Regions from separate parts of the Mus musculus genome. Here regions 1, 2 and 3 are each reported to be linked to region 4. The links are microRNA targets in miRTarBase. Many come from high-throughput screens and were not tested one by one. Region 4 holds a microRNA gene; each other region holds the end of a gene's coding sequence.

What was found. Region 4 holds the annotated microRNA mmu-miR-592-5p (AUUGUGUCAAUAUGCGAUGAUGU, at 4,545-4,567, shown strand). A microRNA usually pairs through its seed, bases 2 to 8, with sites in the 3' UTR of a target mRNA and lowers its output. Matches are read on the target gene's strand: a 7mer-m8 pairs with bases 2 to 8, a 7mer-A1 pairs with bases 2 to 7 and ends in A, and an 8mer does both.
Region 1: the mRNA of Gria3 is a reported target of mmu-miR-592-5p. Seed matches in the 3' UTR shown: 7mer-A1 at 4,588-4,594, 7mer-A1 at 5,939-5,945 and 7mer-A1 at 6,077-6,083.
Region 2: the mRNA of Mlec is a reported target of mmu-miR-592-5p. Seed matches in the 3' UTR shown: 7mer-A1 at 673-679.
Region 3: the mRNA of Zfp385c is a reported target of mmu-miR-592-5p. Seed matches in the 3' UTR shown: 7mer-m8 at 4,993-4,999.

What each region holds. Positions count from the first base shown.
Region 1 is chrX:41,672,128-41,679,685 of GRCm38, forward strand. Gria3 (glutamate receptor, ionotropic, AMPA3 (alpha 3)) reads left to right here. Exons shown (of 16, transcript NM_016886.5): 15 at 92-339; 16 at 4,213-6,474. The coding sequence ends at 337. Among named protein-coding and RNA genes, the nearest start is that of Thoc2, 240 kb to the right of the region's middle.
Region 2 is chr5:115,141,276-115,148,438 of GRCm38, reverse strand. It overlaps Mlec (malectin), which reads left to right. Exons shown (of 5, transcript NM_175403.3): 5 at 295-5,458. The coding sequence ends at 524. Among named protein-coding and RNA genes, the nearest start is that of Unc119b, 9.9 kb to the right of the region's middle.
Region 3 is chr11:100,623,025-100,630,712 of GRCm38, forward strand. Zfp385c (zinc finger protein 385C) reads right to left here. Exons shown (of 9, transcript NM_001373887.1): 6 at 7,464-7,688; 7 at 6,867-7,063; 8 at 6,514-6,624; 9 at 4,519-6,044. The coding sequence ends at 5,808. It overlaps Nkiras2 (NFKB inhibitor interacting Ras-like protein 2), which reads left to right. Exons shown (of 4, transcript NM_028024.2): 2 at 1,168-1,275; 3 at 1,919-2,160; 4 at 2,970-4,578. The coding sequence starts at 1,182. The coding sequence ends at 3,209. Among named protein-coding and RNA genes, the nearest start is that of Nkiras2, 3.9 kb to the left of the region's middle.
Region 4 is chr6:27,933,590-27,941,277 of GRCm38, reverse strand. It overlaps Mir592 (microRNA 592), which reads left to right and starts at 4,528; the gene lies at 4,528-4,623. All of the region lies in intron 2 of Grm8 (glutamate receptor, metabotropic 8), which reads left to right.

The sequences.
Region 1 (7,558 bases), not on the chromosome of region 4:
CTTAGAATTGCCCTATGCTGTTGTGATGTGTTATGATGTCCTCTTGCCTTTGTTTTCCTCAAGAACTAATCGCCTTGTTCATTTTTCTTAGGACAAGACCAGTGCTCTAAGCCTGAGCAATGTGGCAGGCGTGTTCTATATACTTGTCGGAGGTCTGGGGCTGGCCATGATGGTGGCTTTGATAGAATTCTGTTACAAATCACGGGCAGAGTCCAAACGCATGAAACTCACAAAGAACACCCAAAACTTTAAGCCTGCTCCTGCCACCAACACTCAGAATTACGCTACATACAGAGAAGGCTACAACGTGTATGGAACAGAAAGTGTTAAGATCTAGGGGTACGGTTAAGGTCTAGTAAACTAATCAGCCTTACGTTTGTGTGTGTTAACCTTTTTGTTGTTATTCTTTCCTGTTTCTTACTTTGGTTGGATTCTAGCATTGCCTCTTTGCTACTAGTTAGTTATCTTTAAACAATGATTGTGTTCTCGTGTCAGTGGTTGGTGCTTTTCTAAAAGCATAACTGGAATTAAGTTATGGTCTGTGACATGAAAGGAAAAAATACATTCTTAAGCAGTATTATTCAATGCAAATATATGTGAGTGACACGTGTGACCCACATGAATAACATTTAACTGTTAGTTACAGAGTTAAAAATAAAAGAAATGCAGTTAATCTTAATCATGCATTTCATTGAAGTCAAGATACCCAAAATATTTCGATTTGTCACTTACACAATAATATTGAAAATGAATGAGATGTTTTATGTTCTTTTATTTATACTAATCTTTGAAATTTGGGGTGCTTCTATACTTAGGGAATACCCAAGTGATACTAGCAACATGCCAAATATTTAGTAGTCACATGTGCCCATGGCTGCCATGTTAGACAGTATAATTCTAGAGAAATCAGATATTCTGGAACTGAGGTTTAAACTAGGAAAAAGAAGCAAGGTCCTGCCACCTCATGTAGGGAAGTCCTTCCATGAAGAAGTAGTGGTTGTTTTAATTAAGCAGTGGAAGCATGAAACAAATTTCTTAATTTTGAGTCCCTTTGTTATCCCTTCCTTGGAACTGATGGTGCTCAGGTAAGTAAGGGTCTAGGTTACTTGCTGGTGACCAAATCAAAATTAATACTTAGGAAAACCTGACTACCAATAATGCATCTAAATTTAAAGGCAAGCATGGATTCAAATAATGCTTCCATTCTACAAGTATATAAAAGGATAAAGTCTTACCACCTTCCAAGTACATTTGCCTTACTGATGTGCCTATCAAAAGTAGAACATAACAATTAGCAACTTCCTATACCTTATTTTAGCTGGCTAACTTTAACCCTACCAGTAAATGTCAATATATTCCAATTTCTATATGTTGACCTTCTTATATATAACCTAATAAATCTAAATTTAGTTAATTTTTAAACATTTTATCCAAACAAATCATTTGTTATTACCATGGAAAACATGATCTTACTTGAAGAAGTTGCTCGTTGTCCTGTTGTCCTGTAGACTGCAGCCTTCAGCTACTACACACTCCGTACAATGAACTAACCTGTTAACAAATTGTTCCCACTAGTGAATGTTCAACCCATAAGTTCATCTGTCATTAGCACTATTAGCATGTAATCAGTTAATGTTCTCATGTGCTAGTGCTTTGAGTTGATGATATAATTCAGTTGGGGGCATATCATTTGCTTTTTTTTTTTTTTTTTTTTTTTTTTTTGTAGGACAGTACAGGAACAATTTCAATCTAGCATAATTACTGCAAACCCCAAGGAGTTGAAGTCCAACTATTTAGTACGCCTTAAGAATATATAGCAGTTTTCCATGTTCTGTCACATCTATTCCCTGGGTTGTAATAAAAATCGATCAGGCAGTATTTCCCCTCTGGTACCTAAAACTCAGATACAACAAGTGGCTTGTCTAAAGCTATTCAACTAGGTAGTGGCAGATTCAAGTGTAAAGTGAAGCCTTTCTTCCTCTTTACTAAACCAGACTTACCTCTTCCTGACTTCTCCATCTATAGCCTGATAGTCTTCAGGAAATTTGAACCCTTAGTTAGATTTTGTCAATTTGACAAGAGATGATTAGTTTATTACACAGCTGTCCATGCAGGCCATCGGATGACTCAATAGTTTAGAGCACTTGTTGCTCTTGCAGAGGACCAGTGTTCAGTTCCCAGCACCCACATGGCAGCTCACAACCAACTGTAACTCCAGTTGCAGGGGAGTCAATGCCCTCTTCTGCCTCCATGAGCACTGCATATATGTGGTGCACTTATATTCACGCAGACAAAACATGTACAAAAATAATTAACATATATTATTAAAAACCATCTTGAAAAAGTTTGTAGACCCTCCATGCCGTACTTCTTATGCACTGCACTCCATATACTCCATACAGACACACACACACACACACACACACACACACACACACACACACACATATGTATATATGTACATATATGTGTGTGTGTGTGTGTGTGTGTGTGTGTGTGTGTGTGTGTATTGAAAACTACAGTTAGCTTCTTTGGCTTCTTCAGGAATGTTTTTGAAATCCATCTCATATGCAAGGACACAACAAGCCTGTAATTTCGAGAAAGTTCCATTTTTCCTCTAGGTCTATACTATTCCATCCTATGAAATACTGTTATTTTCCAAGGTATCAAGATTCCTTAAATAGCGTATATGTAGGTATTCTTTGAGTGGGTGAAAGGTTGAGACAGGAGCTTACCTAATAACCTAGAATGAGCTAAAACCCACAGAAATCCCCCTGTCTCAGCTTGAATAGTGAGATCATAGATGTGAGCCATCAGGTCCAACTTGCATAGACATTCCTGCTGGAGAGTTTTTTCCAGCTTAAGGGATCTTGAAGAAGAAACAAAAACTAATTTTATGTCAAGTGAAGAAAATTTTTTTGAATAACTGAGAGGGTGAAGTTCTTTTTCCTCAGAGAGCTTTTATCTGAGTACCAGTGCTGTTTCCCTTCCTACCATTTAAGAGCAGGAAACAGTCACTGAGAAGTCAAGTCACTTTCTTAGAGTTATGGGGCCAGATAAGGCTATCCCATTGGCAAGAAGAAAGAAAGAAAGCAAGGAAGGAAAGGATGGAAGGATGGAGGGAAGGAGAGAAAGAGACAGAGAAGAAGAGAGGTGGGAGGGGAGGGGAGGGAAAGAGAAGAGGAAGAGAAGGAGAGAGGGGGGGAGAGGGAGAGAGGGAGAGGGCAAGGGAGAGAGAGAGAGAGAGAGAGAGAGAGAGAGAGAGAGAGAGAGAGAGAGAGAGAGAGAGACTCTGGATCTGGGGGAGTACCAAAGAAGAGCTTTTCCTACTTTCATGTTAATCTTTTGGCTCTTTGCATTCTCATACATATGTTAATTCTAGGACCAGAGGTAGATAATGATGTCATTCATTCAACCTAGCTTCAGGGTTCACTCAAGAGAAAACATGAATGTTCTGTTAGTGTACAGGGAAAGGTGGCTGAGAAAGGATGTGAGCCAACAGGAGACAGACTCAGGAGCAAAGAATCCCCTGCATCTAGTCGAGGCCATGAAAACGAGGGCATTATCAGCACCCTCTCAATCGGGCCCCTAATTTCAAGGCAAAGCACCTATAGATGCCAAGCTGTTTCATGGGTATCACTGCTTTTGCCTGTTTTCTAGAATGTGCTATCCCTTTAAACTCCCTGTGTTACTTTCAGACTTTAAACACTGAGGTTGAAGGTATTAAGAGAAATGAGCAGTCCCCAGTCAAGGAACAAATAATAATCTTTGTCCTCATGTTCAAAATGGATTTGAATTCAGTAAGCCAGACCATTGTGTACCCTCTGTCCTAGGTAAACAATCCCTGTCACATCTGCAATCAGAATATACGTTGCAGTGCATTTGTCCTGACTATATTAAAATGCCACTAAAGCTTTCTAACATACCTACACCTTGAGTGATTAAAGTCTTGAGTTAGACTTCCTGCATGTTAGTAAAATCCATGCATATGCTAGAAAACCACCCTAATTAATCTATTCCAAAGTACCTGCACCCAGTTGAAAATTTTAACCAGACCTATTTCCTACCAAACTGGGGGTGGAAGATGGCCCCAGTAATGGCAATTTAAGAAAACAGTCACTTTTTTTGTCCAGTGTCAACAGAGCCATTAATAAATGTCTTGGTTCCCAATAAAAGTCCATTCATACTACAATGTCCCCTTGCCTTTTGCAGATCCCTTCCCACCGGAAGCATGCAATGAGAGGAAATCACTGAAAACGTGGCTGCTTCAAGGATCCTGAGCCAGATTTCACTCTCCTTGGTGTCGGGCATGACACGAATATTGCTGATGGTGCAATGACCTTTCAATAGGAAAAACTGATTTTTTTTTTCCTTCAGTGCCTTATGGAACACTCTGAGACTTGCGACAATGCAAACCATCATTGAAATCTTTTTGCTTTGCTTGAAAAAAAATTAAAATAAAACCAACAAAAAATGGACATGCAAGATTCCAGTATGCGAAAAAAATTCTTATTAAAAACATTAATTCAACAAAAGCCATTCTTTGATACCACTGCACAGTATACGAAACCATGTTCGTTAACACACACACAAACACACACACACACACACACACACACACACTCACTTATGTATACACATTCACACATACAAATTTATTCTAATTCAGCAAAATAGACCCATCTTAGCTAAAAGAAATAATTCCTCCTGATTTAAAATAAAAGAAATCTGTCTCCCAGTGTTCGGGCAGACAGACTGGCATTTCTTCTAGGATCTGCTGATCAGATGTTTTTGGTATTTCCTGTTGGTGGTGATGTTCTGTGCACCCTATTTCCTTTTGATGTTGCTGAATTGTGTAAATCTTTAGAATGTAAATGTGACACTTAAGAAAATTCAAATGCTTTGGGAAAGAGACTGAATGGTGACTTAGTGTTCTTGCAATGGTTTTGTGACAAAAAAAAAAATGTTTGGAGAACTCCCCATAGTGGAGGTGAAGGGATTAATAGAGCCTTTGAAATTGACATCTGTGTGTAGCATGGGGCAGGGCACTGTCAGGCTTACCTCTCGGTGCTTTCCTAAAACGGATCCCGGAGCTTTCCAAGAAGCCTGGAATTACAGCCCACAGATAGATCTGTTTTTCTTAATTCCGTGTGCATTTTAAGTCAATATAGCTGAGTAGTTGAATAGTAAGCACTGAGGTGAGGGAAGTGCTGCCTATTCTCCCAGACGTGTTTGGAATATCTTTCTCAGAAACAACACTGTGTTTAGCTCTGCTTTCTCTGCTAAGTATGCCTAAGTGTACAACACGGAGACAGAACCGTGTTGCAAGGCAGGCCAGTGGGTTCAGACCACAGTTCTCAATCTGACTTTACTCTTGCTAGGTCTGTTTAACCAGCTGTTGCCTGTTACCGCCTGCCTGTGGCTCTCCGTCAGACTGCATGTGTCCTTTTCTAGTTTGCAAAGACTAAGACGCATTCCTAAACCTATTGCTAACCTGAGGGACCTAAGCATCACTCCCAGGTCCTTGCTTGGAGCAGTTTCTCTACTGAACTGAAGATCGCCCCACTGCTCCATGGGCTCTCAAGTAACTAATTGCAAACCTGCTGTTGACGTCATCAGACCAGTCAGAGGAAATAGTCTCCGCTCACTAATTACCTCCTATATAACAATGTATGCTTTCTGTAGTTCAGTAGTATGCTCTCATCAGTAACGTGCATTGGAAAGTTTCCAGACTGTACAAATTAGGAGCCCACCTTCATTTCCCAAGTGTGACCCTTAGATGCTTAGTTGACTCGCGCATATTTGCTCTCGTCTTTAGAAAAGAAAGGAAGAGGTCTCGTTCCAATGAAACATTTCTAGAAAGGTGTAATATAAACTTTCATTCCAGAAAGTGTGTCATAAGCAAATAACTCACCTGTCAGATTTTAAATGGTATTGAACACAAAAGAAAGCTGTTGTGTTTTGTTTTGTTTTCATGAAACTGTGATTTTTCAACTTATGAATGCTATAATGTCCCAGTGCGGGAAGCTAACTCTGTGTGAATATCAACTTGTATAAAACAAACCAACTGACCTATACACAAACATTTTTCATAGGCACTGTATAAAGAGAAATGTATGTTTATTGACTCAAATCAGTTTTTCAGAGAGGAAACTTTACTGAGATGAAGAAGCGGGTAAATTGGTTTGTTATTTAAAAAAAAAAAAACTTGCATGTTTAAAAAAATGTTGATTGCTTCAAATTTCTGCTATTAACTTCAAGCTATGGGAGTTTGGCGGTAGTCAATTGAGGATTTTTTTCCATTTCTTTTCTTTTTGTTGTTAAAGCTGTACTTCAGTGAACAGAAAAATTGCCAAGCAAACTAATGGCCGTAAAAGTGTAAATTGCATGTGTGGGCATAATTACCGAACCTCATTGCCATGAGGTATGTACAAAGTTTTAATACATTTTGTAAATAAAATTGTAAAGAAAGCATTCTGTCTCTGCACTTTGACTAGCTGCTTGCTGTATACTTGATGCAGATGCCAAGAAGTCATTATTCACTAATTAACTTCTCATCTGAAGCCCAGCCAGTGCTCTAACAGCCTCCTCACTATGAGGATTGGGTTTCTCCCCATCCCAACTGCAAATCAGTCAGGGCTCAGACTCAGGGCCCTTCAGCTACACTGAGCCATCCTCCCACATTTTCCATTAGTTTGACTTGCCTTCTTTGCCCCAGCTAGCATCCTTTAGGATTCTTCCCCCTCCCCCACTGGAAACCCTTTGAATTGAATTGGATATAATTGAATAATCAAGAGTCACCAATTTAGTATTGGTGGGTAAAGAAAAAATGCAGTGGACTATACTGGTCAAGCCTGGTTTGTAGTTTCTGGGGTTTTGGGGGGGGGTGGGGGGGTTCAAGACAGAGTTTCTCTGTATAGCCCTGGCTGTCCTGGAACTCACTTTGTAGACCAGGCTGGCCTCAAACTCAGAAATCTGCCTGCCTCTGCCTCCCAAGTGCTAGGATTAAAGGCGTGCGCCACCACGCCCAGCCTGCTTTGTAGTTTCTGAACATGGACTACAACTTCATGTAACAAATGAAGCCAGTTAAAGACAGAGCAGGTCTATCCGGTTGTCACCCTAGAAAACAGGGGCTGCTGGTAGAAGGAAAAGAGGGGTATTTTTTTTAAGAGGGAGCAATTCAAGAAAGATGCTAAGGAGATAAAGGTAGAGACAATTAGGGAACCAGTAATACAAATTCTTGCAAAGGAAGAAAAATAGAAATGGGAAAAGAAGACTTTCAAAAAAGGCTGGTCTAATCAGACTGTGGACAACTTGGCCTATAGGTTCCAGAATAATTACTACTGCTTTCCTTTTTCTCTGAATTGCTGATTACCTGTTATATGACTAATGCTTTTTTAAAAGATTTATTTATTTGTATTTTATGCATATGAATGGGTTTTTCGCCTGCATATTCTCAGCATGCACATGCCTGATGCCTCAGAGACCAGAAGAAGCATTGGATTCCCCTCTAGAACTGGTTTATAAACAATTGTGATCCACCAGGTAGGTGTTGGCA
Region 2 (7,163 bases), not on the chromosome of region 4:
GTCAGATCACTGTCCCTGCCTATTGTGGGCCTCTGGGAGCTTTGAAGAAGTGAGTCAGGAAGGAGAGAGAACCTTCCTTTGGGGAAGGCCCTGTATTGCTTTTTAGGTAAAACCTGAATCTGACTACTGTTCCTGTGTCCTGCTGTTTAGGTTAGAGATCATTTCTACCCCTCCCTGTGGACCTGGTTAGATGACAGAGGTCTCTCTAGTGTGGCCCATTTACGGCTCTGAATGTTCTCATGTAAATGCTCTGGGTCTTAGTGTACTTAAAGGGTTTTTCTTTTTTTCTATTAGATGTACCAAAGCTGCAGCCTCATCCAGGATTGGAAAAGAAAGAAGAGGAGGAGGAGGAGGAGGAATATGATGAGGGGTCTAATCTCAAAAGACAGACCAACAAGAACAGGGTGCAGTCAGGCCCCCGCACGCCTAACCCCTATGCCTCGGACAACAGCAGCCTCATGTTCCCTATCCTGGTGGCCTTCGGAGTGTTCATTCCAACCCTCTTCTGCCTCTGCCGCTTGTGAGAGGACAAATGGCCATCCTCAGCAGGGTGGAGGGAGTGTGCGAGAAACCAGACACTTTGGTTTCTGTAATCTTCACAGTGTTTAGGAAAAGAGAAAACAAATCAAACAGCGCACACACACACACACACACACACACACACACACACACACACAAACACAGACACACATGTGCTCACACACACACGGAAAGAGATAAGAAAAGCAGAGAGAGTGGGGTCACCCCACCAACACAGGTTGCAGAGTGCTCAGTCCTGCTCTGCCTAGCTGGCCCCACCCCAGCTCTCTTTCTCTGGGGTACTTAGGGAGAGGATCCTTCCTCTCCGAGGATCCTCATTATATACCTAGTAGGAAGGACTCTGAACTCAGAGCAGTCACACTTCCTTGGTTTTTTTAGGTTAGACATTAACAAACAGCAGGAAAATGTCACATAACCTGGAAAGACCGCACTGGAGTTGGGTGTGTTCTGAGTTTCTGTCCAGATGTGATTTCAGCAGTCATGGTATTCCAAGTGTGTGTGTGGAGGTAGATAAGTGGGACGGTAAAGACAAAGGCGTGGAAGAGAAAGTCAGCGCTTCCTTCCTGGGAAGCCTGTCGTCTGGGTTAATCTGTTGATGTATCTTCATTGTCATCTCTCATCCTGATGTGTGCCAGTTAGAGGACTGTCTGGTATCCAAGACGACTAGTGTATGTCAGGTCCTCAAATCACCAACAGCTTGTTACTACAACAAATTGTTTTGATTTTAGTGCCTGTTGAGGACTTGATTTCTTCTTGATTTTTCTCTTAATCTGGTTCATTTGAAATTTCTCACTTCTTAACCATAGAGCTAAGTTATTGTCAAAACTGGGCAGGAGACAGGAGATTGGAGTGGTCTCTGCTGGGGTGTCTGACCCTCCACCACCTCACCTTGTTGGTACCTCCCTCCCTGAATTCCTGAGCCAGCAACTCTTACTGGCCCCTCCATAGGGTCTTGCTGCCAGGGACAGGGATGCTTTCCAGCCTGCAGCAACAGAACACTTGACCTTAAAAGTCTCTTCTGGTCTTTGGATTAGAAAAGGCTTATGTTAGCAACCTCAGAGACTTGAGCCCTGCTAAGTGACTGACCACTGTTTAGAATGTCCAGAATCTGATGTCCATCTGTCCCTGTGTCTTCTGTCCTCTTTCAGCTAGTTTAGGCTTATGCCTAGAGTCACCCCAAAGAACTGAGACTGGCTGCAGCAGCCCAGCTGTGTTTCTCATTGATGATAATAGTAGGCTCTACTGCCCTCCCCTCCCCTATCCAAGTAGCAGTTAAGTTCCATCCAAATACGTGGGACTCAAAGACTCCTAGTCAGCTGTAGTTCTGGAGGCTCTGAATGTCTAACTTTAGCATCAAAGTGTCTGTCTCAGATTCCCAGTAAACACCTCTGTAGGGGATGAAGTTTCCATGTCCCCCATCTTCCTTTTGGTCACCTTCATCTGTGTGTCAGTTAAGACACAGTGAGGGACAGCCCAGCTGCAATAAAAGGGATTTTCTATGTCAGAAGCAGCAGGCTTTGCTTCAGCTTGAGTTGGAGCCGTGTGAGTCTCAGGCCAGGCCCTTATTTCTGAATGTGTTTGAATTTTAAGTTTGCCTTATCAGATATCTGAGCTGTGCGACAAGTAAGTAGCTCTGGGGCCATGTCTTGACTGGCTCCTAATGGTGACTCCAGGCCAGCACTTGGTCATTTGAGAACTGTCTTCTGTGTTCTCTGTGACTTAGGCTAGCCCTAGGGTACTGAGGTGGCAGCTGCATGGCTGTGGCCTGAAGTTGCACTTGCAAAGGTCCTGCTTCTACAGGACGCTGAGGTACTTACTACCCTGGTCTCGGGAACTGCCTGCCTAGGGCAACAGATGTCCTGACTAATCTGGCTTCTGGTTCCCGGTCCATCCCTATTTACAAAGCTATGGGCCACTGTCAGCACATTAAACAAGGTGAGGGAGAGTAGCTGCCTCCGTGTCACCTTGTCTGCCTGGGTCTCTGAGGAAGGAGGGGTCCTGCTTTCTCACCCAGCTCACCCCTTTGGTGACTCAGAGTCCTTCTCAGAAGGAAACCCTGACTCCTGGGCCATTTCCTAATGGTACTGTAAGCCAAGTGGCTCGGCTTCTGCCTCTGTTTCCAAGCCCACCCCTTCCCGGAGGGATAGGGACGGGTGCTTTCCTCTCTAGTTGTATCTGAGCGGAAGGAACATCTTTCTGTAGCTAATAAAAACTAAAAGGGAAGAGGAAGCAGAAGGGAAGGAGTGTGGCGGAGGCTGGGATGGATTCCCTAAGCCAAGCCTGCCCAGCTAATGAGCTGTTTGACGTTGAACTTGAAAGCTTTCCCCTCCCTCTAAGATGATGTAGGTACTTGAGGTTTGGGTTAAAGGGGCTGGGTGGGGCACGCTTTATTTTTATTTTTGTATTGTGTATGTCAAGAATCACTCCATTGTTCGTGTTGCTTTTTGCACTGTTTGTTCCCCGCTGTGTTTTGAGCTAGAACAAGGAGTTGCCTGGGATTGGGAGCTGTGGGTGGTGCAAGTCAGGGAGTGGGCCAGGAGAGGCCCGGGTTTTCTGTTTGAGCTATACTCTGACCCAGGATGTTAGAGCACACTGATCCAGCCACTAGAGAGAAAGGTACAAGAGCAGAGCAGAGGAGCAAGCAAGGACAGCTGGGTTGAGTCTGCAGGTCCAGTGTGGTTTAGGTCAGTCAGGGGCCAGCTGGCCTCTGACTGCATTGCTTTAGGTCGTATTCAAACTCTCTTAAACATTGTGCCAAGAAACGATTTGTGGGATTCATGTCCCGAAACCATTAAATCTATTGTTTGGAAAGTCTGCAGTCCTGAGGAGGGCTTGCTCACTGGACACCCACAGATCTGGCCCTTTGAAAGGCAGCCTTCAGATGCCCATCGTGTGAGAGGCGCTGCCTGTTGATGAAGTGTGTGACCTTTTCTCCTGCTGAGTGGGAGATCCCAGGGTCCCACACGCCTCACCTCGGTGAGTGGGCAGAGCTGAGCCGCACTGTGTGCCTGGGAGCAGGTTACAACTCTGGTTTGACTTTCATTTTGTTGAGAAGCTTCTGTTTTAAGGAATTTCTCCTTCTTGTCTCATTCCTGCCTTTCCTGGGAAGGGCCTGGCCCTGATCTAGAGTCTTAGCTAAGGAGCTGAGAAACAGCCACAGTACTCCCTTCTCTTCGCGCACAGGGCCCTCTCTCTTAGAGACTGCTCAGCTTTCGAGTCCAGGGAGGAGTCAGCGGGGAGTCAGCAGGTTCTCTCTCCTCCCTGGGAACTGGGGACCAACCCACCCCGGCAGCACAGTGCCTTTTTTTCTCCTGCTCTGAGTCAGGTGGGCGTCCCCTCTAGATCCAGGTCTGGGCAGGGGTCTGATGGTCCACTGTGGGCTGTTTCCCTATCCACCCCCCTCCTTGCTGGCCTACTCTGACATAATACAAGTGTCTTCTTGCCTTGAGGAACCTTAATGGCATTGTGGCCACCACATGTGACTCTTCTCCGTGACTCTATAAAGACCTAGCAGAGCATGTGAGCATTCTCAAACAAGAGACTAACTGATGCTCCTGCTGTTAAAAAGGCAGAACTAGGGAGGTGACTTTAGGCCTCCTGCTGTGGCCTCTGAAGAAGGTGACTCTTCAGGTAAGACTGATGGAGGCTACACCGACAAACCGCAGACACGCAGGATCTGCTCAGAGATTGCAGAAGAGCGTGGCCTCTCTTATAGGGAAGATGTAATTATGGATCAAAGAGTGCTAAGAAAATTGCGAAGAAGCCTTACTGCTTACACCAGAGAGCTCAGGGCAGCTTTATCTTCCAGGTTTATCTAAAACTATCTGTGTTGGGCTTCCCTGACACGGGAGAGGGGCAAGGATAGACGATTGACATGGCACTGATGGTCAGTTGCCCAGGGAGGCCGCTTACTCTGGATGCAGATGGCTGCTGCCGATCCACTCTGTCTTTCTCGGGCTGCTTTTGCGTCGTTGTCCTAGGTGGCCAGATTGTCTTGATAAGAGCAGATCTGGGGACTGATCGGATTGGCAGGAAAAGAACAGAGTGCATCTCTTGGGATGGGCTTCTCTCGGAGTGTAAAAGCAAGGGGCCAGGATTGTGCTGGCAGCCAGGGAGACAGTAGTGCCTGCGGAAGTTGGCAGAGGAGGCCTTGGCATGCTCGCATCCAGGCAGTCATGTGTGATGGGAGCACATAGCATCGGGAGAAGCAGAACTCCATCCTCACCTCTATTTTGAGCTTAGTGCTTTATTTCAGTATGAGGAAAAACAACAACAAACCGAAGTGTGCTTTCCGTCCTTTCAGAGGACAACTGTCAGGAAACAGTTGAGGTGCCAGGTGGGAGGGGAGACTTGGCAAGGAGAGATGTCGTGGCAAAACTAGGAAAAGAGACATTCTTGGCTCTTCTCTTTCCTGGTGTGCCATGATCCAGGGAATGAAAAGAAATTTGACCCTGGATTAGTTTCTTTGTCGGCGCTGAGGAACACTGCTTTTTCACAAAGTTCCCCCGGGATAGAATGGCTGTCCAGTCTAAGCTCAGGGCAGCCTCTTCAACCACTGTTGGCCCAGCCTGGCTTGTGAGGAAACCAGCCCTGTCCCTCAGTATTGAACTTGGCTGCTTGTGGGATCCAGTCCTGGAGGACAGGCATCAAGTTCTTAGCCTCTGTAGCTCTTAGCTTTCCCATCTTTCCCTGCAAGGCCACACCGTGCATTTACAGCAGTGTGGCAAGGTGTAGGAGGGACCTTGAACCTGGCTGGCCAGGGCAGCAGCAGGAGTAGGTAGAGCTGTTGTTCCTTCTGGGCTGTCTCCATCCATCTATACCCCTTTCATGCCCCACCCCACTCCCACCAAAAAGTAAAAAATCAGGATGTTTTTCACTGTCCATTGCTTTGTGTTTTAATAAACAATTTGCAGTGATACTCCGTGTTGAGAGTGAATTGAACTCAGAGAGAGAGATGGTGAGCTGGCTGCAGTGGCACTCACTTGTCATTCCAACGGTTGGGAGGATCAGGAATTGAAGACCACATCCAATTAAGTACTCAGTTAAACTGTCAGTCTGGACTCCCAACCCCCACCACTAAGAAAGACCAGGGAGGTCGCTCAGCTGCTACCAAAACTGATCAAAGCCTGAGGTTGACCCCCAGAGTGTGGAGAGAGAAAGAGAGAAAGCGCTAACACATGCTGTGGTACCTCCCCTCCCCAACAGATAAGTAAATGTGTCCCCTCCCCACCCCACAATAATAGTAGACACCAATGTAGGAGAAGGGGAGGGAAGAGAGGCCATGGAGGACTAATGACATGACATTCTTGTCTCTCTTGGGGCTGGCAAGATGGCTCAGCGAGTAAAGGTCCTTGCTACCAAGCTAAGGGGAAGGAGAGAACCAGCGTTCCCACAGGAATGGTTGTCACCTGATGTCCAGTCACAAACGGGTACACACTTCCTCCCCAGTCTTGGCCTGACCACTTCAGCCAGCACTCCAGGAATAATCAAGTCTGTGTTATTTGGATCTGATTGGAATGCCCAGCCTTGACTCTGTTCAGAGGCACACCAGGCCTCCAGCTATGTCTTTGTGTCCTGTACCCTCTACTGAGAGGCGACCTGCAAGCGAAGCCATAGAATATTTCTCTTGCCGGGCGTGGTGGCGCATGCCTTTAATCCCAGCACTTGGGAGGCAGAGGCAGGCAGATTTCTGAGTTCGAGGCCAGCCTGGTCTACAAAGTGAATTCCAGGACAGCCGGGGCTATACAGAAACCCTGTCTCGAAAAACCAAATAATAATAATAATAATAATATTTCTCTTGCCTTCCCCTTCCGTGGCAGGTGGGAGTCCAGAATGCAAGAAGGAATTTTTCCCCCCTCCTTAAAATGTATCAACCCTGTTTTAAAGCTGTGGTACAAGAAGCTCAAGATATCAGTTATTTGCCTCGGGCTGGTTAGTAAATAGTCAAGCCATGACTTAAAGCCGGTCTTTTCTGCCATTGGTATCCAAACACTTCCTCCAGCTAGACTAACTCTAGCTATCCTCAAGTGAACCTTTGAAATGGGCTGGTCACAAAGCCAAGCACTTTACAGATGTCACCATGTTTTCCTATGGCCACATAGCAAGAAAAAACCTCAACAAACTGGATTCTTGGTTTATTCATCTACTTTAGTATCAGGGTCTCACTGAGTCACCTGGTTGGCCTGGAACTCACTTATGTAGAACAGGCTGGTCTCCAACCCCTGGTGCTCTCTGCCTGTCTCCACCTCCTAAATGCTGGGATTAAAAGTTATGGCCACCATAATGTTGTGCCATGTCCCCAGAACATACCCACTGTTACAGCAGTGGAAGTTTCTGGCTTTGTGTGATGGATGTTTGCCCTGCCTGCTGGGTTACACTATCAATGGCAGAATTGAGCATTTAACTCTTTTTTTTTTTTTTTTCCTTTTCCTTTTTCTTTTTGGTGAAAGGGTTTCTCTGTATAGCCCTGGCTGTCCCGGAACTCACTTTGTAGACCAGGCTGGCCTCGAACCCAGAAATCTGCCTGTTTCTGCCTCCCAAGTGCCCTGCCCGGCGAGCACTTAACTCTTAAGAATAAAGCCTACTTGAAAAACCAAAAAAAAAAAAAAAAAGACTAAAGCCCA
Region 3 (7,688 bases), not on the chromosome of region 4:
CAGGGCTCAGCGCGGCCTCTGTCTCGGATTCACTTTGGTTGTCCTGTGATTGCCTCTGAGATTCTGAGGGGTGCCCTTCAGGGGTACTCTGTGGCGGCGGCCTCTGGCAGCCTCTCGAGTGTCGCTTACTAAAAGGCTCACACCACGGGGTGGAGATGAGCGACAGGAAACTCTCCTGGAGAGGTTTCTGCTTGGGACCCCTTTGAGGCTTACCTCTGGATCTCTGCTTTCTGGGGGGAGGAGGAAGGGGCGATTACTGGCGCTCCCCGGGTGCCTGTGTCAGGAAGTTTCCCTTTAGAAGGACCTCTCTCTGCAGTCTCAAGAGAGTTTATAAATCTGAGCTTTCTCTGTGCCTGTCAGTTCAAGGGATGTAAAAGCCATCTTTCGGAAGCACTTTTCTCTTTATTCTGTTTCTTGTCAGATCTTTATTTTACCGGTGGATTCAACTGGGAATGGTTAAATGGAATTTATTGCCATCCAAATTAGTCATTCAAGAAAGCAAGTTATGCCGGGCAGTGGTGGTTGCACGCCTTTAATCCCAGTACTTAGGAGGCAGAGACAGTCAGATTTCTGAGTTCGAGGCCAGCCTGGTCTACAAAGTGAGTTCCAGGACAGCCAGGGCTATACAGAGAAACCCCGCCCCCCCCCCCCCGAAAGAAAGAAAGAAAGTTTTTCTCCATATTTGCACACTCTCCCTGAGGAAAAGATGTCAAGAAGAATCTAAAATCCCTGCTTCTTTCTTCACGGAAGTCATGGTTAAAAGGAGAAAACAGCCTGGTGTGCATATGCCTCAACTATTTCATCAGCTGGGAGCCAGCTTGGGGTACATGAGACCCTGTCTCAAAACAACCCCCTCCCCCCAAAATCAAACAAAAAGAACAGGAGTATTTGTGGAACTTCCTTCAGTATTTGGTGCCCTATCTTGTGCACAGGAACAAACCCGGCCAGCTGTTTTTGTCACCCCACTCTCTAAGCCCCTCCCTTTGTGGTGCCATTAACCCCACCCTGGCTGTGTGCCAAATCCTGGCCACTCATGGGATAAGGAGGTTAATTACAGCTCACTGCTCAGTAGTTCGGTAAACATCAGGGTGGTGCTAACTCCCTGATGCTCCCTGGCCTGCTGTTTGGATTCTGTCTTCCCTCACCACACGGCTTCTGTCCTTTTAGGTTGAAAGCTAAGCATGGGGAAGAGCTGCAAGGTGGTCGTGTGCGGCCAGGCATCTGTGGGCAAAACTTCAATCCTTGAGCAGCTTCTGTACGGGAACCATGTCGTGGGTGAGTGTTGCTGGGCCCGGGAGACTGGCAGAAGACCTTGAGTGAAGGATCTGGTCACATCCTGAATCCAAAAGCTAAAAAGGACACCAGCTGCTTTCACACCCTCCCAATTAGGGCTGGAGGCAGGGCTGACTGTCAGAGCCCTGGTCTAACATGTACTAGTCCTTGGGTTTGAACCCCACAATGGAGGGGGAAAATAAAACATTGTACCACCCAAGTTCTATGACATTGTACAAATCTAGAAGGAAGAAACCCAAAGCCAAGATAGGAAGAAGCCCATTCCCACCCCACAGCACTTGGCCAGAGGTGGATGTAGGGTGTCTGCTTCTATTACTGCCCGCCTTGTTGTTATCGTCTTTGAGAGGGCCTCACTGTACGGCCCAGGTTGGCCAGGAACTCTCACAGATCAACCTGTCTCTGCCCCTGCCTCCCCTCCTCCAAGAGCTTCAATTCAAGGTGTGTGTCTCCACACCCAGTTCTGTGTTGCCCTTTTGCTTGGTGTGATAAAGACATGACACTCGGTCTCACTCTCAAGTCTGGTCTCTCCCGAGCCCCCATATTCCTTATGCCCTGTGTCTGGTCGGCTTGTTAGGCTATCTACCTTGCTCCCATCTCCCATCTCTCTTGACTCATTTTAACCCAGGTTCTGAGATGATCGAGACCCAGGAGGACATCTATGTAGGCTCCATCGAGACAGACCGAGGGGTGCGGGAGCAGGTGCGTTTCTATGATACACGGGGTCTCCGGGATGGGGCCGAGCTGCCCAAGCACTGCTTCTCCTGCACCGATGGCTACGTCCTGGTCTACAGCACAGACAGCCGAGAGTCGTTCCAGCGCGTCGAGCTGCTCAAGAAGGAGATCGACAAGTCCAAGGACAAGAAGGAGGTACATGTCCTAGACTTCTGCTGGGAGCCCAGTGGTAGGAGAGCATGAGCGTGGGTCCTCGGTATGCTTTCGGGTGTATACTGGCTGGTTTTGTGTGTCAACTTGACACAGCTGGAGTTAGCACAGAGAAAGGCACTTAAGGTGAGGAAATGCCTCCATAAGATCCTGCTGTGGGGCATTTTCTCAATTAGTGATCAAGAGTGGAGGGCCCCTTGTGGGTGGTGCCATCCCTGGGCTAGTAGTCTTGGGTTCTATAAGAAAGCAAGCTGAGAAGCAAGCCAGTAAAGAACATCCCTCCATGGCCTCTGCATCAGCTCCTGCTTCCTGCCCTGCTTGAGTTTCAGTCCTGACTTCCTTTGATGATGAACAGCAATGTGGAAAATGCAAGCTGAATCAACCCTTTCCTCCCCAACTTGCTTCTTGGTCATGATGTTTTGTGCAGGAATAGAAACCCTGACTGAGACAGGGTGCTGGCATGATTCCCAGTTGTGCGCATTTGCCAAGAGGTAGTTTAGGAGCTAGAAGGCCGGGAAGATCATTGGAGAGGGTCTTCAACCCACACAAGAGGTAGTGGGCCACATGATAGGAGAGCTCAATCGCTGAGTCTTCTTCTTGGTTTACTAGGTTCCCTCCTAGCACATGAAGCGCGGTCTAGTTTTCCTTCTCTGGGGCTCTGTGTTCTTGCTAGTCCTCCAGAAGTCCTCTGGGAACTGCATCCTCCCCAGCTGTTGGCCAGAAACAGCTGATGGCTACACCTGGTCCTGAGCCACTGCATGCCGACAGTCCCTGTTCTCATCTGTCCTCTCCAGGTCACCATCGTGGTCCTTGGCAACAAGTGTGACCTGCAGGAGCAGCGTCGCGTAGACCCTGACGTGGCCCAGCACTGGGCCAAGTCCGAGAAGGTGAAGCTATGGGAGGTGTCGGTGGCTGACCGACGCTCCCTCCTAGAGCCTTTCATCTACCTGGCCAGCAAGATGACCCAGCCGCAGAGCAAGTCTGCCTTCCCCCTCAGCCGCAAGAACAAGGGCAGCGGCTCCTTGGATGGCTGAATAGCTGCCCTTCTTGCTTCACCATTCCAAGCCCATTCCGGGATGGGTGGCGAGCACAGGGTGCATAAGCAAGCTGTTCTTCCCAGTCGGTAGGGGAGTGACCCTCTAGGACAGGAAGCTGGGCTGGCCCAGGCCAGTGCCACCTTTGTCCTCTCTTAACTCCAAGAAGTGCAAGTGAACTTGATTGTTGGCCCTCCCTTGACCTTCCATAATAGTTCCCACCCCTCCCCCAGCTGACCATATTTTCTCCACTGTCACCTAGACACTTATGGGTTAGTGTCCCTTCCATCTGCCTGGTGCAGGAAGCAGGGCCGTCATGCCAACGCGCCCAGTCCAGGATCTGCCTCCTATCAGGGATCCCAACTCTGAATTTCCTGCCACTAACATACACACAGTACCAGCCTTAAAACAAAAGACTAGGTACTGTAAGCATACATTTGTGCGAGCTGGCTTAGGGTTGGTTCCTCATCCTCCACCCTGACCTTTCCTCTGGCCTGTTCAAGGCCTGGTAAAGTCAGGCTCCTGGGAGTGGCATTTCCTGTTTGACCTCTACCCATCTCCCAGTTGTTTCACTTCCTCTTCCTGTTCCAGGAGCAGAGGTCTTATTGGCTGAGGTAGAGTGGAGTGATGACTGGGCTGTCACATGCCCTGAGACTTAGCAAGACTCTTCTCCCCTGAGCGTCAGTCTTCTCGTATGTGAGTTGACAGAAGCTTGGATGTCACCTAGAGCCACGGGTAGCGCTGTGACTTTTCTAAAGCTGGTGGCTTGGGCCTCCTGTGTGTCTTCTGCCCCTGCTCCACCCTCTTTAAGGTGCTACACCTACCGGCCCTGGAGGCTGGACGGCCTCTCTTAACCACCAGGGGGCAGGGGTGCACTCTGCTCAGTGCTGCGAGCGAGCGGCTGTCTATTAACCTGCCCAACAGGGTAGTGTCCATCCCTCCTGGTTGGTTTTGGCTAGTAGCTGGACTTTATATTTATACTCTCTCTGTATTTATGCACCTGCTGCTCTGGTGAAGGTGGGATAAGCCGCGCCCCCAGCCCTTCTTTCTTACCTCAGATGCCTGAAGAGAACCAGGCAGCCCAGTAGCAGCTTCCCAGGAGCTGACAAGCCTTCCATCAGAGGCTTGTGCTATCAAGTGAGCTTATCACCCACAACCTGCGGTGCCCACTCCGTGCTTCTGATGTGCACACCTCACACGGGTTAAACACTATGGCCAGGCCACCTCCAATACCCTCTCCTCCTCCTAGAACAGGCGAGGGGGGGCTGGTGCCCAGGCCTGGGCAAGGAGAGTCTGGGCACCTACAGGCTCAGGCTTGAAGTTCATTTATTGATGTGTTGGACACAATAAAACCACAACTGCTATTATCAAAAAGTTTCCCGTCCCCTACCCCTTTTCTTGTCCCATTGGAAATATCTTTCAAAAAAAGGGGGATATAGGTGGATCCTGGTGAAATCCCATGTCGAATGGGGGAATGGCACTGGCTTTGGTGACATGAAAGTTGATCTTGAGGGTTTACTGGACCATGTACCAGCCCGAAACGCCACACTTGGGATGGCCAGACCCAGTGTGGAATGGAGAGTCCCTAGGCTGAGGGAGACCCAGAGCCCCTTTAGAGTTGGGGTTCAAGAGAAACCACTGAAAGGCTAAGATAAGAAGAGCTGTAGTGCCGGGTGTGGTGGTGCACGCCTTTAGTCCCAGCACTCGGGAGGCAGAGGCAGGCAGATTTCTGAGTTCGAGGCCAGCCTGGTCTACAAAGTGAGTTCCAGGACAGCCAGGGCTATTGTGTCAAAGCCAGACCAGGCAGGGTGGTGTGTGCCTTTAGTTCCGTTACTTAAGAGGCAGAGGCAGGTAGATTTTTTGAGTTTGCCAGCCTGAGCATACAGTCCCAGACCAGCCAGGATGACACAGTCAGGCCCAGCCTGAACACCACTTTTCCCTTCAAGCCCCACCCCCACGAGCAGATGGCGCGTCATCTCAACTCTGCCTCACTTTCACAGTACATTTTTTAAGAACTTTGGGGCCTCTTATCTCTATGGCCCTTTGCCATACATACCCTGTAGTCTACTTGTGGTTGTTTTGGTGTTTGAGACAGTGTCTAGCTATATGGCTCAAACTGACTTTGAACTCGTAATCCAGGCCCTAGGATTGCAGGAATGCACCACCATACCTGGCTACCCCATGGTAAATATGCCTGATAGGTTCCAGCCCACTTCAGTTTGAGATCCCTGTCTCTAGTGATTGTCCAGACCGCTCTAGAACATGGCAGGAGAGGCTGGCCCTTGGGAGCTAAAATGCTGTCAGCTCTGTGTACGTCTCTAGTTGGGGTCTGGGTATGAGAGCACCATGAGACTGGGGCTGTGGTTTTTGCATAGATCTTTGGGATTTGTTAAATCATAGATGCAGGGCAGCCTAGGGCTGGCCCAGGAAAGGAGGGTAGTGGTGGTCCTCAGAGCCAGGGGACTGGAGAACCCCAGTCTGAGTGAAGGGCAGCTACCCAGGTTGGGTGGGAACCCGGAAACTGCAAAAGGCAGTCTCTGTGGGATGTGGAGACAAGTGTCTGACTGGAAGAGATAGGATGTGGCCATTCTGAGTCCACTAATAGGGAGCAAAAAGGATGGGTCCTGCAGCAGGGCGGACAGCTCCTGCTGGAGAACGAAACAGAGCTGGGCCCAGGACAGGAGCTGGGAAGAGGGTAGCAGCTGCTGTTGCAGCAGGCCGGAGGGTCAGGGGCCCTGGCAGGGCACAGATGGCAGCAGCTGTGGTGGGCAGCGGACCAGGCAGGAAGCGGGCTGCCAGCGTCTTGGTGAGTTGCTTCTGCAAGGCCAATTTAGACTACAATAAAAACAGAAATGGAGAGGGTCTCTGATACCAGAGAAGCCCGCCCCCTCCCTGGGACACATCCAGGAGCCTTTTTGCCTCGGGGACGTGCCTTTTAGAGTTCTAAGTCTAACCTCCTCCCTCCCGCCCCCAAACAGTCATGCCAGGGGGCCTTGCTGTGCCAGCTGTCTTCCTGCCCAGCAGATGGACAGCCTCGGGACGGGCCGCACTGTGAGGGGTAGGAAGAGATGGTCTCTAGGATAAGCACACCCACCCCTGGCTTTTGCCCTTCATATTATGACCTTAGGCCCAGCCCACCCGCAGGAAATTCCTCTGGGTATGGCCCACCTCCACCCCCTAACCCTGTCCCTGCTCAGGCAGCTGCAGGACCAGCAGCCTCCCTCTTGCCACACCCCAAGCCTTTCAGCTGGCCCTGCCTCCTCCTCTCTCCCATATAGACCATGGTCCTCCTAGAGACAGGTACCTTGAGAACACTCACAGCCAGTGCTGTGTGCTTCTGCAGCTTGTTATGCTGGCTGGAGGACTTGGGGGGCTTCCCAGCCAGCCGGTCTTTGTGCCTCCGGCTGCTCATGTGCTGACAGACAGACAGACAGACAGACAGAGAATGAGATGAGGAAGCCCACAGAACCCAAACTATTCTATTGTCAGACTATCTCAGACTTCCTCTTATCCATAGTTCGTACGTTCAACACACACACAAGGGGCTCTCAGGCGTGGGACAGTCCTGGACAGCCTAGCCACATCCATCCCTCAGTGGGCATCAATGCCTCCTCCCTTGCTCTGATACCCATCCTATCCTGGTCTCCCTTCTCCTACCTGCTTGAGCTGGGTCTCTGAATTGACATGGAGCTGACAGAGGGCACAATGGAAAGGAGGGCTGGGTCCCTGCCGGCCCCCACGATTTCCTATCACTCTCTTGGTCTTGTGTCCAGTCCCTCCTCGGGACACAGGACGGCCCCGGCCCCTTCGGGGAGCCCCTTGATGACCTTCCACCATCCATCTGTGCTTAGCTCCTGGAAGGAAAGAAAACGGTCTCTCAGTACGGAAGGGAGGCCATAGCATCAAACTAGGTTAGCTTGGCTACCCCTCCGCACACACATGGCCCCCGCCAGGCACACAGACTTCTGTCTTCCCAGCATCTCTGGCTGTCTATGGCTTTCTGTGGACATCCCTTAGGGAAGATGGCCTTTTAAAATAGACAGCTGGGAAAAAGTCCCTTCCTTTTGATCCAAGGAGTATGGAGGAGGGTACTCCAGGCCCTTAGTGACCTTCAGTTCTGGTTGCTGCAGACTTCTCCTCCCAATGCCCCTCCCTTGGGACGAAGAGAAGGACCCAGAAATGTCTTTGTAGTAACAGTGGGTAGGTTCCTCTGTCACCTGGCCATGAATGACATGGCACCCGGGAAGCACTGACCTGTGTTGTGAGCCTGAAGCTGAGAGGCGGAGTTCACTGTCACTTTACAGGTAGGGCAGTAGAGGCGTCCCTTCTCGCCCCTGCCCTCCCCATTCACTCCACTTCCCACGGCCCCTTCTGCTGGCTCAGGCCCTGGTGCTTCCCTGCTGGGATCCGGGGAGCAGGGTGGGCAGGAAGAGGAGGAAGACGAAGCAGCAGCATCACAAAGTTCGGAGTGGACGGGGT
Region 4 (7,688 bases):
GACGAAGCATGGTCCTCAGCTTCTGTCTCTGCAAGACTGAGTTGGAGGGGGTGAGAAAAAGGAAGTTGGGATAGCATTAACACAGTCGTTAATGCCATAAGAGAAATATAGTATCTATCTCGGGTATTCTGAAGATGCAGCACATTTTGTGTGCTTGTGGATTTTAATAGAGGATGAGGAATGTTGAAGAAGGTGGAATTACAACTAAAATTACATTAAAGAGCCCTGCGAGCTGGAGATTAATCAAACTGGTAACAATTTGTGCCCTTCTATCTATAAATATAAAAAGATAAGTTCAGCTAATTTTGATGTATTTAATATGTTAATATGTATTTCAAGAAATGATGAGCTAACAAATTAATTTAAGCAACAAAATTTTGCAGGTTGTATTGATTAATAATTGTACCCAGCTTAGGAGACATGCCCATAATTCCAGTTCCTGAGAGGCAGAGTCAGGAAGATAGGGAGTTCAAGTCCAGCCTGAGATATATAGTAAGACACTTTCTCTCCACAAAACAACTACAATTTACTTCAACATCATTGGGAGTGACTCAACTGAATGAGATTATATATATATATATATATATATATATATATATATATATATATATATATATATATATATATCCAAATATAATTTTGGTAGCTTTCAGAGCTGTCATTCTTTTCTTTCTTTAAATTTAGTAATTTAAATGCAACTATTCCACATAGTTAAAATTAACTAATCTCTGTGTGCTCTCTTGTTTTGTTTTATGGCAACTCTAAAATATACTTCTGAGGCAGAAGAAAAACATCTTGGGTAGCTTTCATAGGGTTGGAAGATGCTCTGTACACTAAACGTAATCAACAGTCTTACCCTGCTGTGAACCCTGCCAATTGTAACCACAACAGGCCTGGCACAACATAACTACTGATGGAATGGTGACAAGCATATCATGGGAGTAAGAAACCACTGTCTGATTGGATTTAGGGCCCTCTTCAGAAGAAAGAACTCATGTCTGGTACTGTTAACTGGGTCTAAAACCAGTGGCTGGATATGTCATAGGCTCTTGGGGAGTAAAACCAAAAAAAATTATTCTACTAAATGAATGTGATAATAAAGTTTCCATGTTTTTCCATGTTTTCATTAAAAATGCAACTCTCCACCCTCATCAGAGACACTTCTTTTGGCAGTAGATGACAATTAGTACAGCTATCTCTGACTAGTTACTGTGCAGAAAATAAGAGACTGGAGTGCTCAGCTTTGCATTGGACTTTTATATTCCAGCTCTTCACCTATGGTATGGAGATCATCTCAGAAGAGGCAGCAGGAAGACTGTAAAAGCCAGAGTGGGTATCTTTAGTGAAGCAGTATTTTCCAGACATGACAGGACCACTGTACAACAAACTCGCCGTGGCTAAGACTGCATGAAGAGGAACTTCACAAGATCAAGCCAGAGCAAATCCCAGTATAGACAGGAGGTGGGCTCATGAAGTCAAACTACTAGCTCGGGGGCTTTTAGAATTGGATGGCTACTTGGCGAGGGAGGAGTCTGTTCAGGAAGATGTCTCCTGATAGGCTCCCCATGCTCCAATAACAATGGTACTGCCATGCGCATACAGGCAGCACACAGTTTAGTAGGTTTACAAAGAGGCCAGGTTAAATTTTTTTTTTTCCATTTTTTATTAGGTTTTTAGCTCATTTACATTTCCAATGCTATACCAAAAGTACCCCATACCCACCCACCCCCACTCCCCTACCCACCCACTCCCCCTTTTTGGCCCTGGTGTTCCCCTGTACTGGGGCATATAAAGTTTGCGTGTCCAATGGAGGCCAGGTTAAATTGAGAGGGAAAATGGGTAGTGGGGAGAGGGGAGGAATTGGAGGGGAAGTCATGGAGCACTGGAGCAAAGCCCATTATACACATGCAAAAAAAAAAAAAAAGCTCAATTAATTAAAAAAAAGAGTAAGTGGGGTATTTGTTATACCTGTCTTAGGTATGTGTAGAGTTCATAGGAAGATAAATGTATATATGAATGTTTCCAGCCTCAATTCCTAATTTCACTCTATCACTAGTATATAATCACACGGTTAAACAAATGGGTCCCTAAGTGTGAAAGCACGTGGAGCTCTAGAATCATAAAGCAGGCAAGTGTATTTGCAATCATTCTGCTGCAAATATTATTTGCTCTCAAAGATACAAATTCAGTTTGAAAATTTTGCAACACGTATCTGTTGCATAAACTGACTTTTGGAGATGGAGAACACTAATATAGAGCTGAATAAATCTGCAGAACTTGGAAACTCTGCTGTTGCTATTCTTGCTCCAGTTTTGGACTTGGAATTTTTTTTTTTAAAGATATGGTTCTTAAGGAAAAAATATTCAGAATGTATCTAACTTCTGCATTGCTTTGACTTTTCATCTTCTGCAGATCATTGTCTACAAAGATGGTCTCCCACTTACAATGATTTGACTTTCAGTGTCTTCCCTGGCTTGCCATAGGTATGACGCTGTCCTATGTTGATAACACTTTCAAGCTAAGCGGTAGCCCCGTATAAGTTGAAGAACATCTGTATTCTATGTTCTAAAATATATCACTTAGTCAAGTAAACTTTCCTGTATGTATGTAATTATTGTTCTTATTTTGTATATTATATATGAGAAAGATTTAGTGTTGGAGATTTATCACCAATCCTTGCTTATTGATGTCTTTGTAGCTTACTGTAGTCTCTCTCTATATGTTTATATATATATATATATATATATATATATATATATATATATATATATGAGTTATTTGAGAATTTTGTATTGTCTTTTTTGCTGCCTTTATAAAGTTGATATGTTAATGAATATATATTTTTTCCACACATTAAAAAATTAATGTTATTTTAATTAAATAGTTAATTCAAAATAGTTTTATTCCAAAAGGGCAAGTATACCTGGCTTAGAAAGGAATTTTTGAACATTACTTGAAAACTTCTCTTGAAACATGATGCACCTCTCAAGAAAATGAAGGCAAATCTTTGGAAGTTGAAATTGTTTTCATTGCCTCCTGGTTTCTAGTTTTGAAACATCTCTTGGGAATTATGATAACAGTTGAAAATATCTACCAGTGATTTTTCATGTTGGACCAAATCTGTCAGAACTTGTAACACTGATCTTTGATTGGGTAGAGGTGGTCTGCTGATTTATTTAAACATAAATACTTACCAATGATCTTTTTTAAAAGGCAGAATATCTTCAAGGGTTTTAAAAAAAATTCATCTTTATATGCTTACCAGAAAAGAACTTGCCAATATATTTGTGGCTACTAAATTGCTTTCAGGAAAACAGAGAGGTTTTGGATTTTATTGTGTATTTGGTTATAAATAGGGAAAAGGTATGTTTACTTTTGCAGATAGAATACTTTGCTAAAAAATAACTGTGCTAAGTGATAGAGTAGTTTAAGAATCATCAGGAGACTGTAATTATGATGAAGGATTATGAATGTGTGAGTAAGTATTCCTTAACTGCACTGGTTTCAACAGGATTTTTTTTTTTTTTTGAGAAAATGTCTACAAACAAATTTAATCTAATATGTTGGGATCTCCCTTATGCCCATTTTTTGGTTTACATTTGAATTTAGGTTTTCTTCTCCTTCTCATGTTAATTTTCAAGAAAGAACGAGACAAAAGATGCTGTCTCTTTGCAGGATCATCTCGACGCCTCTGTCCTCCTCCTTTCCCTTGCTATCTTCAAATCTGCTCACCTGTCTCCTTTACTGCCGCACGAGCTTTGAAGAGAACTCTGCACCCTCAGCTTGGCCAGAGCCTTTGAACTAGAATAGAGCTGGCGTCTGGCAACTGGATTTGTGAAGGAAAGGTCACTCACTGACACTTTGCATAAGCTAGCCCTTTGTTTAACCGGGAACTCGTATCTTTGGAATAATTCAAAAGTAATGCCTGATAACTTTGGGTGTAACTGCCTCATCCAGACACTTAGGGTGTGAGTGGGTGTGAACTTGGAGAGGCTGCCTTCCACCAGACTGTGGAGAGGATTTCTGTTGCAGGTTCCCTTCCCTCTCCAACCTAACATGCAAAGCTAGTTGAAGCCATTGGCTACACGTACTTTTTCTGACCGTCTCAGTCTTGAGGAAAGAGGATTGGAAGAGCGTGGATAAGAAGGACAGGAAATGAAGAGTCAACAAATTAATTTTTTTTTTCACACCATTCCAGTGCTGTTGTTTTAAGCCTTGGGGTGGAGGAAAGAAGGGTCAGCATTTGTAAATGTTTGTCTTTAAAATTGAGTTTAAGTGTTATTAGTTATGGAGCAAAGCACGTAACAACCCTCGAACACTATCCCCATGACAACCGACCCTTGAACTCCTCCTTGTCACTTTAAAACGGTTCTAATTGGAGACCAAGGAAGTTCTAGGAGGCCAGGAAATTATTTCTCCAGTGGCTGTTTTCTTCTGTCAACCAAGACTCTTCTCAAAAGCAAAGAAAAACTGGAAATTGTTCCTGCCTGGGGCCAGGGTGTGGGAGTGCTGATGTAATTAATTCCATGATATTATGCCATGACATTGTGTCAATATGCGATGATGTGTTGTGATGGCACAGCGTCATCACGTGGTGACGCAACATCATGACGTAAGACATCACATCGCCAATTAAAGAGGTAATCCCACGAGGTTTTAAAACTGAGCAGCTAATGTTTATTTAAGTCTGGGCTCAAGATCTGGGGTAGTATGGAATCTCTACTGGAAGATACAGGTCGGAAAAAATGTTTCTCTGTGTTTGTAAATCACTCCCAAAAAATTACAACCTCTATTTTTACAAGGCAGGTTTAGATATCAAAATATAATTCATTTACTAGACTGCTACTATCACAGGAGGTCACTGTATTATTTTCCGTGGGATATAGGTTGTTGCTAAATTTATACATAACTTCATAATGAGATTTAGAAAATATAATCTATTCTTAATTTACATATTTGTTAAAATTATTTAGTGCCTTATAGAGCTCCATGTAAAATGATTTATAATTGAAATTACTTTGTAACTAATAATTTTATATGCACATATTTCATAATAATAGTAATGATAATAATCTTGCACTAAGAGTCTAATAATATGAAAATGTTAAAATGGAGAAATGATTTGTGCATATAGTTTCGCTCTGTGTGTATGTGTTGTGATTCTGGTTCTATTTTGTATCTTGGTTTTACTATTCTGAAAATGAGGATAATGCATTTCCCCTTGACTTCCATAGGGATATTGCATGTGCAAATTATTGGAGGTAAATTGTATGTAAATGTTATTTGCTCTTTAGAACAAATGTTATGTAAATTTAGGGTAATATTCAGTATTTTCTCTAGAGCTACATAGGCTCTATTTAGGAACTTGACATCAAACGGAGAAAATGTAGTTAAATTAGAGCTGGAGTGGCTTTCGTATTTGATATTTCATTTTTATTTTATTTTTCCTGACTGTTTCAGCTCTAGATTCATTTTCAGAAACAAAGCAGATGCAAAAGTGAAGACAGGGATATGCCTGAGCTTCTATTTGTGTTCTTTCTAGGCTTGGTGATTCTCTGTCCTGTAAAGGAAGAAAGGTGTGCATGTGTAAGTGTGTAAGTGACGAGAGGAACGTTGCAACTCATGCTAGGGAGAGCAGAGTTGAGCAAAGCGTCGGCGTTCCCTCATTCAGCAGTACAGGTGGTGTTGGCAGTTTGTATTCTGGAGAATAAGGGACAAGTGTCCTTTGCTACTCCTGGTTTTCCACGGTGAGATGAAGAGATTGCTCTGTTGTTTTAAAATTGACATATGCTTCATCATCCCTTCTTTGGCTCCAGTAAAAATGTATCAGAATTTCATTGCCTTCTGAAAGTGATACATGACTTTTTGATGGAGTTTGAAATGCTGGCTGATTACTTTTGAATGCTGAAGCTCCACTGGTTCCTGGCAGCTCACATCTGCAGCAGAGAAAAACAATTAGCAAATTTGTGAATTTGCTTTGGTTTATAGATTAGACAAGTGAAGTAATTCTTTATCACTCTAGCCAATGGGCTAGTCTTGATTACAGGATATTGTACCCCATTAATAAATATAACTATATTTAGATGCTATCAGACGTTTGTCTGTCTGTATCTTAGTGACCACTTGTCTGTATCCTGGAACCACCGACGTCATGTTCAGTGTCCAGAGCTCAAAATCATTGTAGTTTTAAAAGGCATAGAGGAGTGTTAGACTGAGTACACACAGCTTCTAGACACATAGCCCAGACAGCTGCACAGGTTGCGCACCCTGCCCCTCACCAAGCTCTACTGATGATTACACATCTGGAAGCCTTAATTCTGTGTGCTGACTCAGAGTTTCTAGAATTTAAGACTAGCTCCCATGTGCTCTGGCTTACCTATAAGGTAAGTTTCAGCTGATTTATAATACATTTGTCTCTCTCTAGTTGATAATTGCTTTTTTTTCCTTGCAAAGAATAATCTATGGTCATTTCCTGCTTATCCATATTCAAGAAAACCCAAGGAGCAAAATCTAAAAATATTCCTTAAATTCGTTGAATTAATGAGACTTGATTTAATGTTTGGGGATGCTAGGTTCAAACGAAAGCTCTTAAAAACACTTTATCATCTTCAAGTTCATGGAGTATTTAAAATAAGTGGTACTAAAAAGATCTTATGACTGTTAGTCTTCCCTGAACTGCTGAGAGATTTAGGAGATTGGCAATATTTGTTCATACAGAAATCATAATCCAATTATTTTTAATGATGTGGTTTTTTTGCCTGGAAATATAAGGGTAAATTTTTCTCTAGGAATCTTGGTTATACTAAAAGTTTACTTTGTAAACATTTCTTTTTCCTGAGAGAAAATTGTCTTCAATCTCATTTCCCTCTGAATTATTAAAAAAAATTAAATGGTGAAATCCAATTAATTAGAATTTGACATTCATTCTACATTGAGAAGAATCAAATCATGTGTTTGTCCCATATTTGCATAGCAAATGGATAGCAGATTAAACTTCAAACCATTGGTTGCTGAGTGTTACTAATATACATAAGCCTTTTTCCTTTGGACTGGCAAAAGAACTCAACACTCATTTAAGCAAAGTCCCACTGATCCCTTCCTGATTGCCTCGTATAACACCCCAGCAATAGTTTAGATCATGTCTGGACCCCACATGGAGAAACTCATTTCCTATGCTTTGGGCGTATACCTCTATCTTGTGCCATTATATACCTTTATCTTGTGCCATTCACGTCCTTAGGTCATCCTTCAGAATAAGACTGTTTTCATTCTTTGTACACTTAAAGATATTTGAAGATGTTATATTTGTGTTCTATTTTCCTTCAGACTAAAGACCCCCTTTAAAATATCTCTATACTTGACACAGTAAACTTTGATTTTTTTTTATCAATCTGGTATGAGAAATCAAATGTCTAGTACATTCATTTCTTTAAGATTCAATATCAATTTTTTTCATTTAAATTTCAACCTCCAAAGATCTGCAGTGTCGAGTTCAATTGTTAGTGCTGACAAGAGCATGCCTGTGGCCTCACTTCTCCAATATACCTTTCATTATTGTCCCCAAAGGGGGTGCAAGCCTATCAGGTAGCAGGCCTTGTTGATTCAAATTGAAGTAGTGTTGCTCGACTTTCAATGTCTTTTTCAAAGCAGACGTGGGGTTTGTTTTAAACACGACATACCTGAGAAGT